2 linked regions of the Oreochromis niloticus genome follow. The protein of the gene in region 1 interacts with the protein of each later gene in a biochemical or structural test. Links are inferred from orthologs where the notes say so. Each region holds a gene or a part of one and is shown on either strand. Other genes may lie near its edges.

Region 1 (7,755 bases):
CCATCTAAGGCACACAACCCTAAAAAAAACTATAAAGATGGAACTGAGCATAATTTATTTCCTCTTAATTGTGTTACCTGGTTTAGCATCACGTCGTAAACATCATTTCCTTCATTATAAACATGAGCCTGAAACAGAAATATAAAAATGAGCTATACAAATCAAAATAATCCCAACATCTCTGCATTCAGGAAATATAAATATTTTTGTATAAAATATTTACTTTTTTGTGTTTAAAAAGAACAGATTTGAGATGATGTTAAAAAATAATTGAAACAGAACCAATTACTACTTCTTATATTTTCATGTAACAGTCATATGTAAATCTACTGATAATTAGGTGAGATGAATTTAATTATCTTGTAATTGCAACAATACTTCTCAGATTTATTGGTTATCTGTTTAGTATGTGGAAAAATGCAATCATATATAAGTTATTCAGTTGAAAACAACCATTTAGAAAATTTTAGCTTCGCTGAAAGATTTATTTGTGTTTAACCAGACACAGAATAGTTTGTCACAAGAGGAAGTGTAACTGGGGGAAAGCTTTGCCTTCTAGCAGCCAGGTGTCAAACCACGAGCATGACTGACATGAATCGTGAGATTTATATATCGTGTGGATGCAGACACTGTACCTTTCCTAGTTTGGCTTTACATTCAGAGTCTACTGGTGCTTTTCCCTTCATGACCACTGTCTTCACAACTTCTGTTCAGAGCAGATCAGACACGAAAGAGTAGTGAGGGGAAGAAACATCTACAGTTCAGATGCAATTCCATGCTCACCTGATCCTTAAAAGCTTTAAAAGTTACTGTGCTTTGATAATGACCAATATTGTCATGGCTCCAAAATTTTGTAAGTATATATAGAAATTAGATCCATGTTACCTTCACTTTTTACTTCTTCTTTGGCTTTTTTGGGCATTTCTTCAGTTTTTGTCTGGCTCTTGCTTTGTCCTCTCCTCTTCTTAGCTGCAGGCTGCTCTTCTGTGTCCTCCTCTTCCTCTTTAACTTGAGCTGGTTTCTCATTATGAGCAGCAACGTCACCAGCTTCATTCTGACTTTCTTAATAAAACAGGAGAAAAGAGGAAAGACTGTGAGTACCTCCAGGAATTCAGATTTTTCAATTAAATTTAAACTGAAATAAACTATATAAATTTCATGAAATTATGTTTTAGATACAATTTCTACAAAAAAAATGAAAAATGAACAGAACTGCAGTTAAGAAAATATCAAGCAACACAATTTAAAAATGAGGAATTATGAAAACAGAACACAGGGAGCAGGGAGGATGACAGAAAATTCACAACAAAAAAACTAAAACAAAGTGATGCTGTAGGAGACAACAGCAGACATATGTGGTGTAATACATAATTCGCACACCTGTTTTTACAGTCTGACAGCGAATTTTCCGTTTGTACTTTGTGACAGGATTGATCTGAACCATCTTCTTCAGATCAACTTCATAGGCTGTCCCCGAGCCCAGAGAGAGAGTGACAGATGTTTTTCCCGAAGAGACGGCCGAGTCCAAGACGGCACAGGCTGATGGAGAGTATGGTTCCCACTGTCTTTTATCTCCCATCCACTGCCACACTGATCAGAAACACACACAGAAGAAAATCTAACTCTTACACACTGGCCTTTTAGAGATTAGAAACAAGTCTTTAAGTTATTAAAACTCTGTGTGTGTAATACCTGTTTTAAACTTCCTTAATTTTTAGTCCCCTGACAAATACCAATCATATTAAAATAAAAAAGCATTAATGCTGCTGTTGTTTAAAAAATGAAGCTTTCTGAAGTCTGGATAAACTGCAAAATAGTAAAGAGAAAAATAAAACCAATACATGCTTCTTTTTTTTCCCTGGAAGGTGCAGATAGCTGTCAAACATTTTAGGTTAATTTTAACAGAAGCAATATAAAGAGTGGCTGCAAAAAAATCAGCCTTACTTTTAAAGGGAGCTCATTACACTCGAATTCTCCCCTTAGTTCAACAAATACATCAGAACAAACTGTTTTTTCTCGCCTTCATTTCAGTGCAAACTCCCTTTATTCCAAGTTTGTTCTGATTGGCTGCTCTAGGCAAACAGAAGGTTTGAAAAGTAGCATGATCATGTTTGGGTTAACCCTCTCACTGACATCATCTGGAACAAAAATTTGAGGGAAAATGTCAAAAGCTAAATGTTTACAGTAATTTAAAGCATAATCATTTCTACACACATTGGCATCATTATTTTAAAATTAAAGTGGTCATATTTAACATAAACATTCCAGCATGTTAGCAGTATATATTAGACAGAAAGCAGGTCACATCAGAACAGGCCCCTTCGCTTTTGGTATGCAATAAATGTAGCTCACAACAAATAAATACCTTTTTTTTGGTCGTTTTAACCGCTCACTTAGGAACTTATTTTAGGAACCCTAACCCTTACCTGAAAAGCAAACCGAGCAACAAAAAATGTTTTGTTTGTTTTTTAAGTTGACAATTTTTTATTATTATTTCACACAGACAGTACCGGTGTCTGAATTATGAGTGAAGCTTCATAATATTGATCTTCATGCTGTCTCCTGTCCGAACATGTCCACAGTTCAATGGCGTAGTTACCCTGCAGCAGCTACAATATTATGCTAATAAAACACACAGACCTGTTTTTGACTGGGCTTCTCCATTTTCTGGTGCACTCTCACATTTATTTCGCGAACTTCTCGCTCGCCTCATGGTGGGTTATTAAAAATAATTATCTGGCTGCTGTTAAAGGGGAACCTCAGCGATAACACTAAAACACGGCGGGAAACTTTTCCCCACCGTACTACTGTTTCCTGACCGGCAACCGTACTGCAAACGATTGTTTCATGTGAAGATGAATCACTCCGCCGTGAAAACTGAAACCATTGTTGTTTCCGGCGCGAAGGCGGTTAATATGACAACGATTTATATTAAACCCAGTTCAATGTTTAAAATACATTTAGGTTTATATCTGTTTTAATTTAGTCCCAACTTTGTCTATGCTGTGGCCGAGAGGTAAACTTGATGTCGTAGATGCTGGACAGTAGGCGGAGTAACACTCTTCGTTGTTCTCCTGAGGTGGGAACAGAGATTACGGTCGAAAGTGTTCCGCCTTAGGTAGTGGTCGGAATTATTTTGTTGAAGGATTAGTGGGATTCTAACGTGACACTTAAGGAGGGCTGGATGAAAGTTGAATTTTAAGCCATTTAAACGTTTGTAGAAGCAGATGTTATGGTACTGCGTAGATTTAGCGCCTGTGTTCTCTGCCAGAGAACACTTTTGGGGATGCTGGTGTGCCGGGTGAGTACGGATTGTTATTGCCACTGAATGCAGCTTTTTAATCACAGAGGTCAGACACATAAGCTATAGAGAACAAAATAGTTTCAGTCTGTACATTTACATTTTATCCTTTTGGCATAATATACACCATTTAGTCGTGAATCTACTCCACTTGTCCCCCAGATGTCAGGGCTGCCAGCTCTCACTGGTGTAAAACATGATTTCTACGTTCATTCAAACACTGCCCAAACACATCTCTGAATACTTTGAACTGAGGGCAACACTGAGGGGAATTTTCTGAGTTTATTATCAGCTCAGCATAAAAAAATCTCTTGGCTCTGTCTTTCTGACATTATAACTGGACCCAGTAAGGCTGCTGTCTGGTTCCCAGTTACCTTGGACTCAAACATTTCATTAAATAAACTAAAAACGCACTTACTCGCCACTTCATTATTTACACCTTGCTAGCACTGGATTGGACCTCCTTTTGCCTTCAGAATACTGTGATCATAAGTAGGTGGACATGGTCAGTAACAATATACGAGTATATTGTTACACAAACAACCACATCACGTAACTTTTCATCCAAATTTTGATGCTTGGTTTGAATTTCCATAGGTCTTCTTGTCCATGTCTGCATGCCTAAATGCATTAAGTCGCTGCTATGTGATTAGCTGATGAAATACCTACGTTAACAAGCACTCAAACAGTACATGTGCCTAATGTAGTGGCCACTGATTCTTTTGAAAAAATGAAACACAGATTTTGTTTGGTTTCTTTGTTTGTTTGTTTTTTCTCAAATCTGTCTGTAATTGGATTTCCTGTTTTTTATTTTCCTCATATAATCATATTTCAGTTTAATTCAAAGGTCAGTAAAACAGCATCATTTAAACCTGTTATTTCAGGCAAAGAGTGCAGCTACACACCCGCAGCCACAGGCAGATTTCCTAAAGGGTGAACCACACAGAAAACACCCAGGTGTGACCAACTTGAAAACTCTACGGCTACCTGAGGAACTCCACGTGGCTGCACAGTCGATTATTCACAGTAAGCTTAGTGTTGGTGAATCAGTTAATATAACAGATGTTTCTGACCAGCTTCATTGGTTGAAACCCTTTGCCTCTCATCCATCTCTGCATCTGTAGGAGCTCAGGTGAATCAGCTTCCTGAGCACATTCGCAAGCTCACAAACTTCCTGTGGAGCAGGAAACGAGCGGTCGAGGATTTAACTCTGAGGCAGAAAGCTGTGAGCCTGGAGAAAGAACTGTGGGAGAAAGCCATGCAAAAGGGAGGAGGTGGGTGATAAATGTTTTTTTTTTTTAAGTAATAATACACATGCAACAAGATAATATCATGCAGCAGCTAGAAAAAATAAATATACATTTATTCTGCAGATATTGACGAGCAAGCAATGGAAGACCGCATCAGGAGGAAAGTTCTCTCAGAGCTCCGAAGAACGACATATCACTGGGCACCCATGAAGTAACATGTCATTTAACTACAGTGTTATCCATTATCAGTTTTTCATGTTTCAGTCTGTTCTGAATGCCTCTTTGTTATATTTACTCATTCCTAAAGGAGAAAAAGCCTCTTTTACCCATAATAGGAGAAGCTAACACTGCGATTTATGACAAATGCTGAACATTTTATACTTTTAACAGACTTAAGATGCTTTCTTTAGATAAACCCAGTGAATGGATGCGCTCCACCATGATCACTCCTGAAGTTGTAGTTTTGGTCTTTAAGTTTGACGTGCAGTAGATTTACAAGCATCTCACTGTGTTTCAGGTATGATGAAGAGCTCGGCGTGGTCTACATGGCAGCTCGACTTGCTGGCGGTTACGCTGCAGTGAGGAGAGCTCTGAATGAGGTAGCAAAGTGCTGTGGAGGCGATCGGCTTACGTGGTGATACAGGGAGCTTCCTTTTTAAGAGTTGCATGAATCCAAGCACAAGTTGTTTTTTGTGGTTAAACTCACTTATACCTGCAGTTCTTTCTTTTTTTCCCCTCATCATTTAGATAAAGAAGAGGGATCCCTCCTTTGCTCCTCACACTCTCCTGGATTTTGGTTCTGGGTTAGGAACAGTTGTCTGGTTAGTGTGCAACACTAGTTAAACATGTAAATGCTATAGTCTGAATAGCTAAACTAAGTTTATAATCTGGCCGTTTACTCAGGGCATCTCACGCATGCTGGGGTGACTCTTTGAAGGAGATGGTGTGTGTGGACAGCTCAGGACCAATGAACATTTTGGCAGAACGACTTCTGAAAGGTAGACACACATGTAGAGAATTTATTTTTGTTTCCTTATGTGAAATACAGATGTTAATAGGAACTGACTGGATTGTATCATTATTATTATTATTATTATTATTTGAATTGAGCAGGTGATGACGAAAGAGCTGAACCCTGCATCAAACAAGTGTATTTCAGACAGTTTCTCCCTGTGTCTCCTAAGGTAAAACTCCCTCAGCTTTTATTTAAGTCACAATGTGTTCACTGTCAAGAGTTTAAAAAATTCAGTGTGTTATTAAAAATGTATATGCAATATTCTAGACTTCAATTCTGGGTTATACATGGATTTTTTAGTCATTGTTCTAGAAAAGAACACAAACAGAGAAAATCAAAAAATAAAGAAAATCCCAATATTTTTGATTTGCTGTCATTAATGTTCCAGATAATCTCAACAACTGGAAATCCTGACTGTCCTTTTTCTCCTTTCAGGTGCAGTTTGATTTAGTCACTGCAGCTTTTACCCTCTCAGAGCTGCCGAATGTGAAGGACCGAGAGGAGGCAGCATTCACTCTTTGGAGAAAGACAAGCTCATATCTGGTGAGATCAAATAAAGATGCAACTTAAAAAATGATTGGTGAGCCTCTGGCGTTTAAAAGGAAACAGAAAAAAAACTATTACTCGTTGCATTTTATGTTCTAGGTGCTGGTGGAAAATGGGACCAAAGAGGGCCATCAGATACTCATGGAAGCCAGAGATACTTTATTGAAGGTATTTAAACACACTAGATAAGACAGCAGTTCACACCAGTTGTTATTGATCAGACTAAAGTGTTGGTTTTCTGACTCCAGAAACAAGAGAAGACCATTTATGACTCCAGGCCAGCATCAGTGTTTGCTCCAGTAAGTTTAACACCCAGTAGATTTAATTAAAGTCATACTTAGAGCCATCAGTGTATCAGTTTTATTGCACTTCTCTTTATTTATTTATTCATTTATTTCAGTGTTCTCATGAACTGGTGTGTCCCAAATTGGCCCATGAACTCGTCACACCCTGCAACTTCCAGCAGCAGTACCAACCTCTGTCTCTACCCAGGGTAAGACTTAACTGTCTATGTCTGTTTACAGCTTTTCACTTTAAATGCGATCTATTCTGTTAATTCCCAGGTCTCTTTCTTTTTATTCTTGGACTCCACCGGAGCAGCATTGCATGAATTTTAAATTATCGTTATTTATGTTTCTAGTGGCTCAGCTCACCACCTGTCTAAAACAGACTGTTTTGACTTTTTAGCCACCCTCCCTTTAAGTCAGCTAAGACAACACTGGTGAATTAGTGCTTGAGTAGTACCGGCTAATATAGTCAGACTCACCTCAACGCACAGCTGGTGCTCTGCAACAGGTCTCCTGGAGAGGGGCTGGACTCTCAGTCTAGAGTTGCCCTCAGAGAGAGATGGCAAGCAGTGGTGGGTATACAGTTATGGTCACAAGCTCTGAGTAGTGACAAAAAGATCACAGATAGAAGCAGTAGAAATGAACTACCTCCACAGGGTGGCTATCTGTTGTCATTTGGGAGTCCTTTCTGAGGGCTTCAGAGTAGATCCGCAACTCGAAAGGAGCCAGCTGAGGTTTTTTGAGGATCTGACGAGGATATGACCTGGACACCTCCTTGGTGAGGCATTTTGAGCATATTCTACTTAGAGAATCTCTGGGACAGACCCACAAGATTATGCCTCAGCTGCTTTGGGAACACCTCGGATGAGCTGGAAGGGTGACGGGAGGAGAGGAAGTTCTGAGGCTTTTCTTCTTAGAATGCTGGTCCTGCAAACCAAGCAACAGACCAAATAATCAATCAATCAATCAATCTTTATTTATAAAGCACTTTTCATACAAAACAAACTGTAGCACAAAGTGCTTTACATGGTTAAAAGCAGCCCACCCCACCCTCCCACTCATTCCCCGCACTGTCATTAACAGAAGCGGTCATGATACACACATTCCCCCCCCCCCCCCCCCCCCCCCCCCCCCACACACACACACACACACACACACCTAAAGAGTAAAATTGGGCTGGGTATGCATTAGCCAAGTGAGGAAACACTATCACAGGGAGCTGTCTGCACCGGGAGCCGGTCACAGACTGCAGCCTCCAGGCTGGGCACACAGCAGGAGGGAGGCAAAGAAGCCCCCCAGCCAGGCTCAGAGGACCCACAGGGCCCCAGCAGCCACGGTCGATCACAGCCCCGGTGC
Region 2 (7,961 bases), on another chromosome or scaffold:
GAAAAAAAATTTGTAATTTTTTTTAAAATCCATATCGCCCAGATCTACCTTCCAATATAGCTGATACTAAGCTCTTCCTGATTTTCCTGAACATAAAAAACAGTTTTCATTTCTCATGCTTTGGAGGCTGTGACCTTGTTGCTTTTCCAGCATTTTTCCCCCTTTAGATCACTTTTAGAACCTGTTAAACAGTACATACCTAAAAACTACATTTAAAAAACAAAAACAAAACAGTTTATTGTGAAATGTGATGTGGGAAATAAAATTTAGCACTATCAGTGGTCACTAATGCACAAGAACTTTTCTGTTTTTGTGCCAAGAATTTGTTTAAGCTGGAAATTGGATTATATAAAGTGATATATGGGGAGTTTGTGGTGGTTAACACTCACTAGACTGCAGCAAACACGTTGTCCCCCATCTGTGTTATAGTACAGCCCTTCTTGGCTTCATTTTCCCCAACGAACGAAGGGAGGGAGTCTGGAGTATCTCTGGCGGAACAATGAAATTCAGTAAAACAAAACAACAACAAGAAAATCAGAACCACTTATGCTCATGTACATATTGTTATCACTATTTTCATATTATTTCACACAACGCCCTCTGTCTTCTTGGTAGAGCAAATGTTGGAAGCAGCCTCTGGTGGAAGCTACAAGATTCTAATAAAAGCCAATAGTCACACACTTCAGTTGTTGTGTTCTATACCTGTAGTAACCAATGTGATGCTGGCTGTCCTCACTCCCTGTGAGTATGGTCTGAAACTCTGGTGGGTCATAAAAATATCGCCAGTGAAGGTGGAACTTCGGCTGGGAATTCTTGGAGTTTTTGTGAGCTCCTGCCAAAATATCAAATGGTCCAACCAGTTGCAATCCCAGCGAGTCTTTCAGAGCACCTATAGAGAGTGACAATATCTTGATACAGAAACGAGCTGACACAGAAGCATTACTTAAGTGCAAATTATTGATAAAATATTTTATTTACATATCATATTTACATATCTTACACACCACATAAGTATCTGAGATGGAGATTTTTCACTTAATGATAAAATGAATCATCTGCACTGCTCAAAAAACCCCCAAAAACAATAAAAATAAAAATCTTGATGAATGAAATAAACTTAAATCTGAGAACAAAATAACACTCAGTGGAAACAAATCATCCACTGTTTTAGGGCTGGATTTAAAAATAACATAAAAAAAATCAAAGACAAAATTGTTCAGGTGTTCAGTATATTTGACATTTTATAGATGAAATGATCATTGACTGTCAGCTGCTGTACTCTACTGCAGTGTGTACACCACCACTCACCGCAGCACCTTCAAGAACATCTACAGAAATAGAAACAGAACTGGAAGATATAGACTCATTACAAATTAAACTTGCATGAAGTCAGGTTTTGAGCCCCACACCAAATGTGGGTTTACAGTTAATACCCAAGTGTTAACCAAATGCTGCTAATTTTGTGTTTGTGAACTAAATCTTTTAGCTAGCTGTTACACTGGCCTTTAAAGCACCGTACAGTACTTTGGTGTCATTTACAGATGTGATGTTTCTGTCTTCTACTGTGCCATCTTTTTCACACCTGTATTACAGCCCCTAAGTTCATTACAACGGTTGAGCATCTAATAGCTAAAAAACAGTTTCTGAATTTCATGTTTAACTATATTTAATAGGAGATCTGTTCATTTTGAAGCCCTTAACCACCGACTGTCACGTGGAATTGTTTTTGCTTTGAATGATCTCGTCTTTAATGTTCTATTAGACTGAAATACTAAGCAGCATTAAATTCAGCGGCTCCACCCTATGAAGTCTAGTACTGAGATCATACCACGGGGGTTGTCAGTGCAAAGATCGCTGCAGAATTCCCAGAAGTGGTACAGATCTTCTGGCATTTGAAAACTGTACAACTGCATCAGCTCATCACGTTGCTCCGATTTCACTCCCGATGGCGGCACATCATTGGATTCTTCACTTCGGGCTTTCTTCACCTCTCCATTATTTGTGCCTTTTCCCTAAAGACATGAAAAGCAGGGGAACTCCTCAGCAATACTGCATAGTAAGTTGCCTATTTATGTATTATATCAAGCTCCAAATATGTCATTTTGATACAGCAGGTTGACAGTAAAACATATTGTGGATACATTGAACCAACCACTATATTATTATAAAAAGAAGCGCCCCCCCCCAAATATCCATAAAGGTTAATCAAAACACTTCTATAATAATCACTGAGCATCATGCTCTCCACAGAAGTAGGTCAATATTTACTGCGTGAGAATTAATGCATCTACCTCGCATCAGCAACTAGTGTACAATACGTACAGCTGTGCCCACTGCCTTGGACTCTGTATCCTGCAGAGGCGTGTACAGTAAGAGTAGGGATCGTAATCTTTTCCAATAGTTGCTCGCAACCTTGGCAAAACGATTTTATGGGGCCATTTATTGGTGTTTATTGGATAAAGGCACCAATCAATGAATCAATCAATGATGACACCCACAGTGCGCTTGCTGACGCCACACTACACAAACAGTGAATGGGAACGACGTACGGATATTTCCTAGCTAGCATAAAGGTCCAGTTATGGTAGTGCTTTCCATTTAATCAAAGCCAAAGACCCCATTCATGTATGTGCTGTTAGCATCGCTGAACAAGCTGCTTTGTGGGACCAGCCTGCAGAGCTGCTGCCATGTTGTCGTGTTATCCACTGCTGCTCGGTCAGGCTGCTAAACACTTCTTCACACCGACTTTAACGGCAGCTGCTCTGCTGCACACAGAGCACGGCGTCTCGTTTGGTAAGGCTGCTGTTTTAAACGCATATTCCTGCACCAAACACAGCAGGTCAAAACAAAGCGTATTTACCTGAACGGCTTTGGGTTTTCTTTTTGCGCGCCCTGTCATTTTATTCCTCTTTTTCTCCGTTGAAGTCTTCTTCTGCCAGTCAGCGTCGAGCCGTCGGCAGCAACAGCGCCCTGTTTAAGAGCACCAGTGCCACCCACAGGCCTGGAATGCAAACGTCCCTTCCCCTAAATAATCCAGGTAACAACAACAACAACAACGCTAATAATAATAATAACGATGATGATAATAATAATAATAATAACAATAATAATAATAATAATAATAAATTGGCTTACTATACACGCATCTGCCCCTTTTGCCTCTACAGTTCAGCTAAATAACTACTTACTATTACCAAGGTTATGCAAATCATATAAAAGGTTTGTAACAATACTTTGAACATTTTAGGCTGGATAATTATTTAAAACGCATGCTGTATATGTGTGGTGAACAATATCTTTATTGCTCAGTTTCAGATGGTGGAAATAACATTAGTTGTTATCAGTTCTGCTAAATTTCAAGACCTTGTAAGTCAGAGCCAATAAAGGGGAACAATTAATAGAATTAGCACAGGGTCAAAGTGCTCCAAAGAGCCATTATGGAAACAAAGTCAAATCAGATCAAAAAAAATATGTAGATGTCAGTAATCTAATAAAATAAATAGTTGAATACAAGTTCACAAAATTGATTGTGCTATAGATCACTGTACTAATTTGATGGTATGTGGAAAGGAAGCAGTACAGCAATACAGGTCTTCTCAAACTGAGTGTAGCACAGATAAAAATACAAATACAGATATGGTGTGCAAATAATCAAAGTAATTTCTCAGACTTTCACAGCTTCACTGCTAAATAAACAGATTAATGTAGGATCAATGCAAAGGCAGAGCAGTTCATCCCCTAACTAAACACTCCATACAGAGAGAATATAAATGTGAATGTAGCTTTTAGTGTAAAGTACTTTGAGAAGCTATTTAGTACCTTTTTACATACAGTAAATGCATTTAATTTACTATTATATATGTGGCACAATAAGTTATTTGCAGTACAAGTGCAGGAATAATCATAACCGTGAGGGCCACTGCATAACATATTAACGAGTTTGCTCATCAAAGTTCTGATGTGTGAGCAATAGGTCAGTCTTCAGTTAGAAGAATGAACAAGAAGCATACGGGCAAGCCTCCTTTTAGCCTCTGAAGCCACGTGTCTTCATCTTCTCTCCAGTCCGCTGTTCATTGGTCTGTCTGTGTCTCTCTCTTAAAGTCTTCATGCAGTGATGAGTCTGTACTAATGTTTTCATTGTTTTCTTTTTCTTGTTCATCAGCAAGTTGCAGCCAGTTTTCTCTGTTCTTCTTACACCCATTTAGCAAAGGAGAGCAGGAGTCAAACAGCCTCGATACAGTCTGAGGACGGCAAAGACAGAGACGGGATTGTTGATAGAATAGTGGAAATTACAACTGATCTTAAGGGAACAAGATGGCAACAAGGTGAATTCTGTGATGAAATATATAAGGATACATGCATGCAAGTAGAATATACAGTTATCTACACATTGCTTACACAATACCAGTAGTAATAACACACCTTGTAGAGTGGATAGCAGACCTCATCAATGTATTCAACTTGCATATACGGCAGTCGAGTGCTGTTTTCTCTGTTCATTATGTCCTTGTGAAAAGTAAGCATAAAGTGGCTGTTAGAATAGCACTTAAAGCACTTACAGAAGATCAGATAGAATTGCAAAAGTATGCAGTACTTGAATATGAACATTTATATATGTAGATTAATTCAACCCAAAACACTGCAAGCTACATTAAATTTACTTAACTCTGAATGGGGAAAAATGCATCAGAAATACACAACAGGCTTTATAAAGCTTTATGTATTCAAAGATATTGTTATTTTTGTTATAGTGTAGACAGAGTAACAGTAACATTTTATGAAAACCCATTTTTGAATCTGTGTAAATAAAATAAGAAAATCTTTTAAACCACAATGACAAAAATATGAAGATATTCCAAGACATACCAGTGTTTGTGGTTATGTATTTTTTCAAAGAACAGTCTTTGGCACCGTGATACTGTTATACGACAGGGTAGATGCAATTCTAGCGCAACAAGAAATAGGACAACAGGATGCCTGAAGGGCTTTTAAACTTAAAAAAATGTATCATAAGACTAAAACAAGATATTCACAAATGATTGGATTCTTGTTAGAATCCAATCATGAAAAAATATTGATTTAAATTCCTTTTTATGTGTGCACACTTTTTTATTTCCACTCAACATTTTCAGAATCCTTGGTACACTACAAATCCTGCAAGCTCCACTTACAATGGGTTTGATTTTGAACTCTTCCCTCTCTTTGTCCCCCTGTGCAAAGAACTCCATGGCAACCAGTCTGGCAATCTGTTAGGAGGAAGAGTGAGGTTAAGGTTGCAGTGAAAAAGGATTGAGAGATGAAGCATGAAGTGTTTTATTTTTCATTCAGAGCTACTTTGTGAGACCTACTCTTTTTTGTTCAGGCCAAGGCTTTGTGATAGCAGAGAGGTCACTGGCTGTCATCAGCATTGACCTGTGGGGTAAAGTAATAGCTTACAACACAGCACATTCTCTTGGTTTACCGAGCACAACAATATAATATGCCTCTGATTCTAATTTATGTGATTCTCACCTGAGCAAGTCTCTTTGTTTCTCACTTTTCCAGCTCACTCCGCTTTTGTTAGCGAGAGAAAAGAACTCCTTTCTTCTTCTGAAAAAAAATAAAATAAAAACAGCCAGAAGAAACATGGGTTAAAATAAGACTGGCTAAATGTGTAACCTACATCTTCTTTGACATTTTTAATGTTTCAGACGTACTCCATGTAGACGGTCAGGTCTGTGGCAAGGATTGCCCTTTTGATTATGTGTAATAGAGCTTTGTGCTCTTCAGCAGACAGACCGCTAAGAATTTGACTCCCCTGGAAGATGATGAGAGACAGAAAGAAAGTAAAGTAAACTGAAGACTACAAGTTCACACACAGAGATCAAAATAATCTAATTATTTCACAAGTGGAATCATTGCAAAATAATAGATATGTGTGCATGCAAATATAACTTATAAGTTGAAAAGAAAAGATTTCTTGCATCTTACAGTGTTGTTTAGGATGAAGACACACAGGTTGTAGTGGTGGTTCTCAAGAGAGGAGTGTCCATACAACTGAGCTAAAGGCTGATGAGTCCTGAGAGAAAAAAGAAAGAAAGAATAAGGACTTGAATATATGTAGGCAGAGACTAATAAGTCTTACAGATAGTACAAATCAAAATAAATACACATAATTATGGTCTAGATAATTTAGAGTAAAAATAAGTAATGGAGTAAATGTGAGAGATTAAGAACTAACGTTTACCTTTCTATGAAGGAATTATTAACTCCTCTGTGATCGACATCATGATTCAGAGTGGCTATCATCAATGCTAAGATCTCCAGGCGAGAAAAAATGGTCTGAAATATGAACAGAAAGAAACAGGTTGCAATAATGAAGAAAATTATTTTTCTGCATTTTATAATTGAATGCTTTATAGGAAAAAAATAATAATTGAGAAAATAATCATATGCACATGTATATATTGCACATTTCATGTGCTACACAAAATAAAAGAAAGTTTGTATCAATAGGTGGATCATGTGCTGTCAAAAGTCGATAATAAAAGTTTCTAACAGATAGGATGATAAAGGACCAATCCCAATTGGAGCTGAAGTCTATGGATCCCTACACATGAGTATATGTAAGGGTAAAAAACAGGAAGCAGGAATTTATGGATAGGTGATGATGCAAAATCTCTAAATCATTTTTAATTTTTTTTTTGTACTTTACTTGTATTTAAATAATCTCTAATCTAAAAGAATAAAGTGATAAGACGGTAAAATGTTAGATGGTAGTGTCATTTTCTATCTGAACAAATACTGAATAAAAAATGTGTAACTGTAATTCTACTATTCAATGTTTGATGTAAAAGAAATGAAGTACGACAAATGATACTTCCATTTTAGTGTTACTAATACCAGTCAGTGTCTTCATTGAATATCCCACATAATTAAGCTCCAAACTATAACAGATACAAATATGCATAACAGATACAGCCTGGTCCTGGTACAGAGACCCCCAGGGTGGATCTCCAAAAAGCATCCTGGATCTCCAAAAAGCTTAAAACACTGGTGAGTGAATGGCAGAAGTCACTTGAGTTGAGGTGTAGGTATGTGTCTGATTGTTACAGACAGCAGTTAAGAGGTTTTGGCAAGATCTAAAATTAATCCTCTTCCAAACAGTTAAGAGCGCTCAGTACGGAAGAACAACCCTGGCAATCCTCAACTGACTCCTCCCAAAACTTTTGAGCTACAGTACAGAGGAAACTCCGGAGGCGTTATGCAAATGTCACAGTGTGACTGTCACATGGACATATAGAATGGATTGTCAACAAAATGCATGAAATGTTATAATAATAGCAACTACAAACCCACTCTGCTTTTACCACAAACTAACACTAACCTGGAGTTGGTCTGTTGCCATGAGCATTGCAAACATGCTTTGAGCAGTGCTCACTGCATGGTGCCAGTTGTGGTAGGGCACGTTGTTCCTGTAGCCACGTTTCACAGTCAAAACCCACTGGCAAAGACTCTGGAAGGATGAGATACGTAAAGTTGATAAATAATAGAAATTGAGAATATTTAAGGTATTATCTGATTCTATTATGCTTTTCTAGTTTGTCAGTAGTGAAATTCCTGTAACTCAAAGAAACATACTAAACTACATATTGTCAAATGTAAGAGCTAATAAGATAACACTAAAATATCCATTATGACCTCATATTCTCCTCTCTCACAGGTCCTTTTTCCACCAACGTGATTCCTGTTTTGGTGCCTTAGATAAGGTGGAGTTAATGAAATGAAAAAAAGACCGATGCCAGTGAAACAAGCTTGAACCACCACAGAACCCCAGGGTTTCACAATCCTTAACATCAGTAGCTACACAACAGGATTTTACCAAGAAATTCACAGATAATTTGCAGATGCAGTTTGCAGATTTTGACAGAGAAGACTTTCTTCTTACCAAAATCTCTTCACCCCAACTTTTAAAATGGAAC

Evidence for each region. The genes of interacting proteins can lie anywhere in the genome.
Region 2: the proteins of parp2 (region 1) and hpf1 form a complex in vitro, tested with the Homo sapiens proteins (2 studies listed by BioGRID). The link is inferred for Oreochromis niloticus from reciprocal best matches to the Homo sapiens genes PARP2 and HPF1.

Annotation. Positions count from the first base shown.
Region 1 is NC_031982.2:26,108,048-26,115,802, forward strand, and holds the start of parp2 (poly [ADP-ribose] polymerase 2), read right to left. Parts: upstream 3,013-7,755; 5' UTR 2,714-3,012; coding exon 2,641-2,713; exon of another isoform or gene 2,640-2,640; intron 2,563-2,639; exon of another isoform or gene 2,510-2,562; intron 2,410-2,509; exon of another isoform or gene 2,366-2,409; intron 1,591-2,365; coding exon 1,381-1,590; intron 1,063-1,380; coding exon 886-1,062; intron 707-885; coding exon 636-706; intron 129-635; coding exon 78-128; intron 1-77. Other genes in the region: mettl17 (methyltransferase-like protein 17, mitochondrial), read left to right, coding at 3,233-3,301, 4,186-4,327, 4,426-4,575, 4,675-4,762, 5,069-5,150, 5,299-5,372, 5,455-5,549, 5,665-5,735 and 4 more. UniProt on the Homo sapiens protein: Poly-ADP-ribosyltransferase that mediates poly-ADP-ribosylation of proteins and plays a key role in DNA repair.
Region 2 is NC_031971.2:22,761,086-22,769,046, forward strand, and holds the start of hpf1 (histone PARylation factor 1), read right to left. Parts: upstream 3,002-7,961; 5' UTR 2,900-3,001; coding exon 2,861-2,899; intron 2,013-2,860; coding exon 1,829-2,012; intron 890-1,828; coding exon 703-889; intron 489-702; coding exon 390-488; intron 1-389. Other genes in the region: pde5aa (cGMP-specific 3',5'-cyclic phosphodiesterase), read right to left, coding at 4,071-4,241, 4,423-4,506, 5,172-5,246, 5,349-5,412, 5,512-5,589, 5,697-5,797, 5,971-6,058, 6,227-6,321 and 1 more. UniProt on the Homo sapiens protein: Cofactor for serine ADP-ribosylation that confers serine specificity on PARP1 and PARP2 and plays a key role in DNA damage response.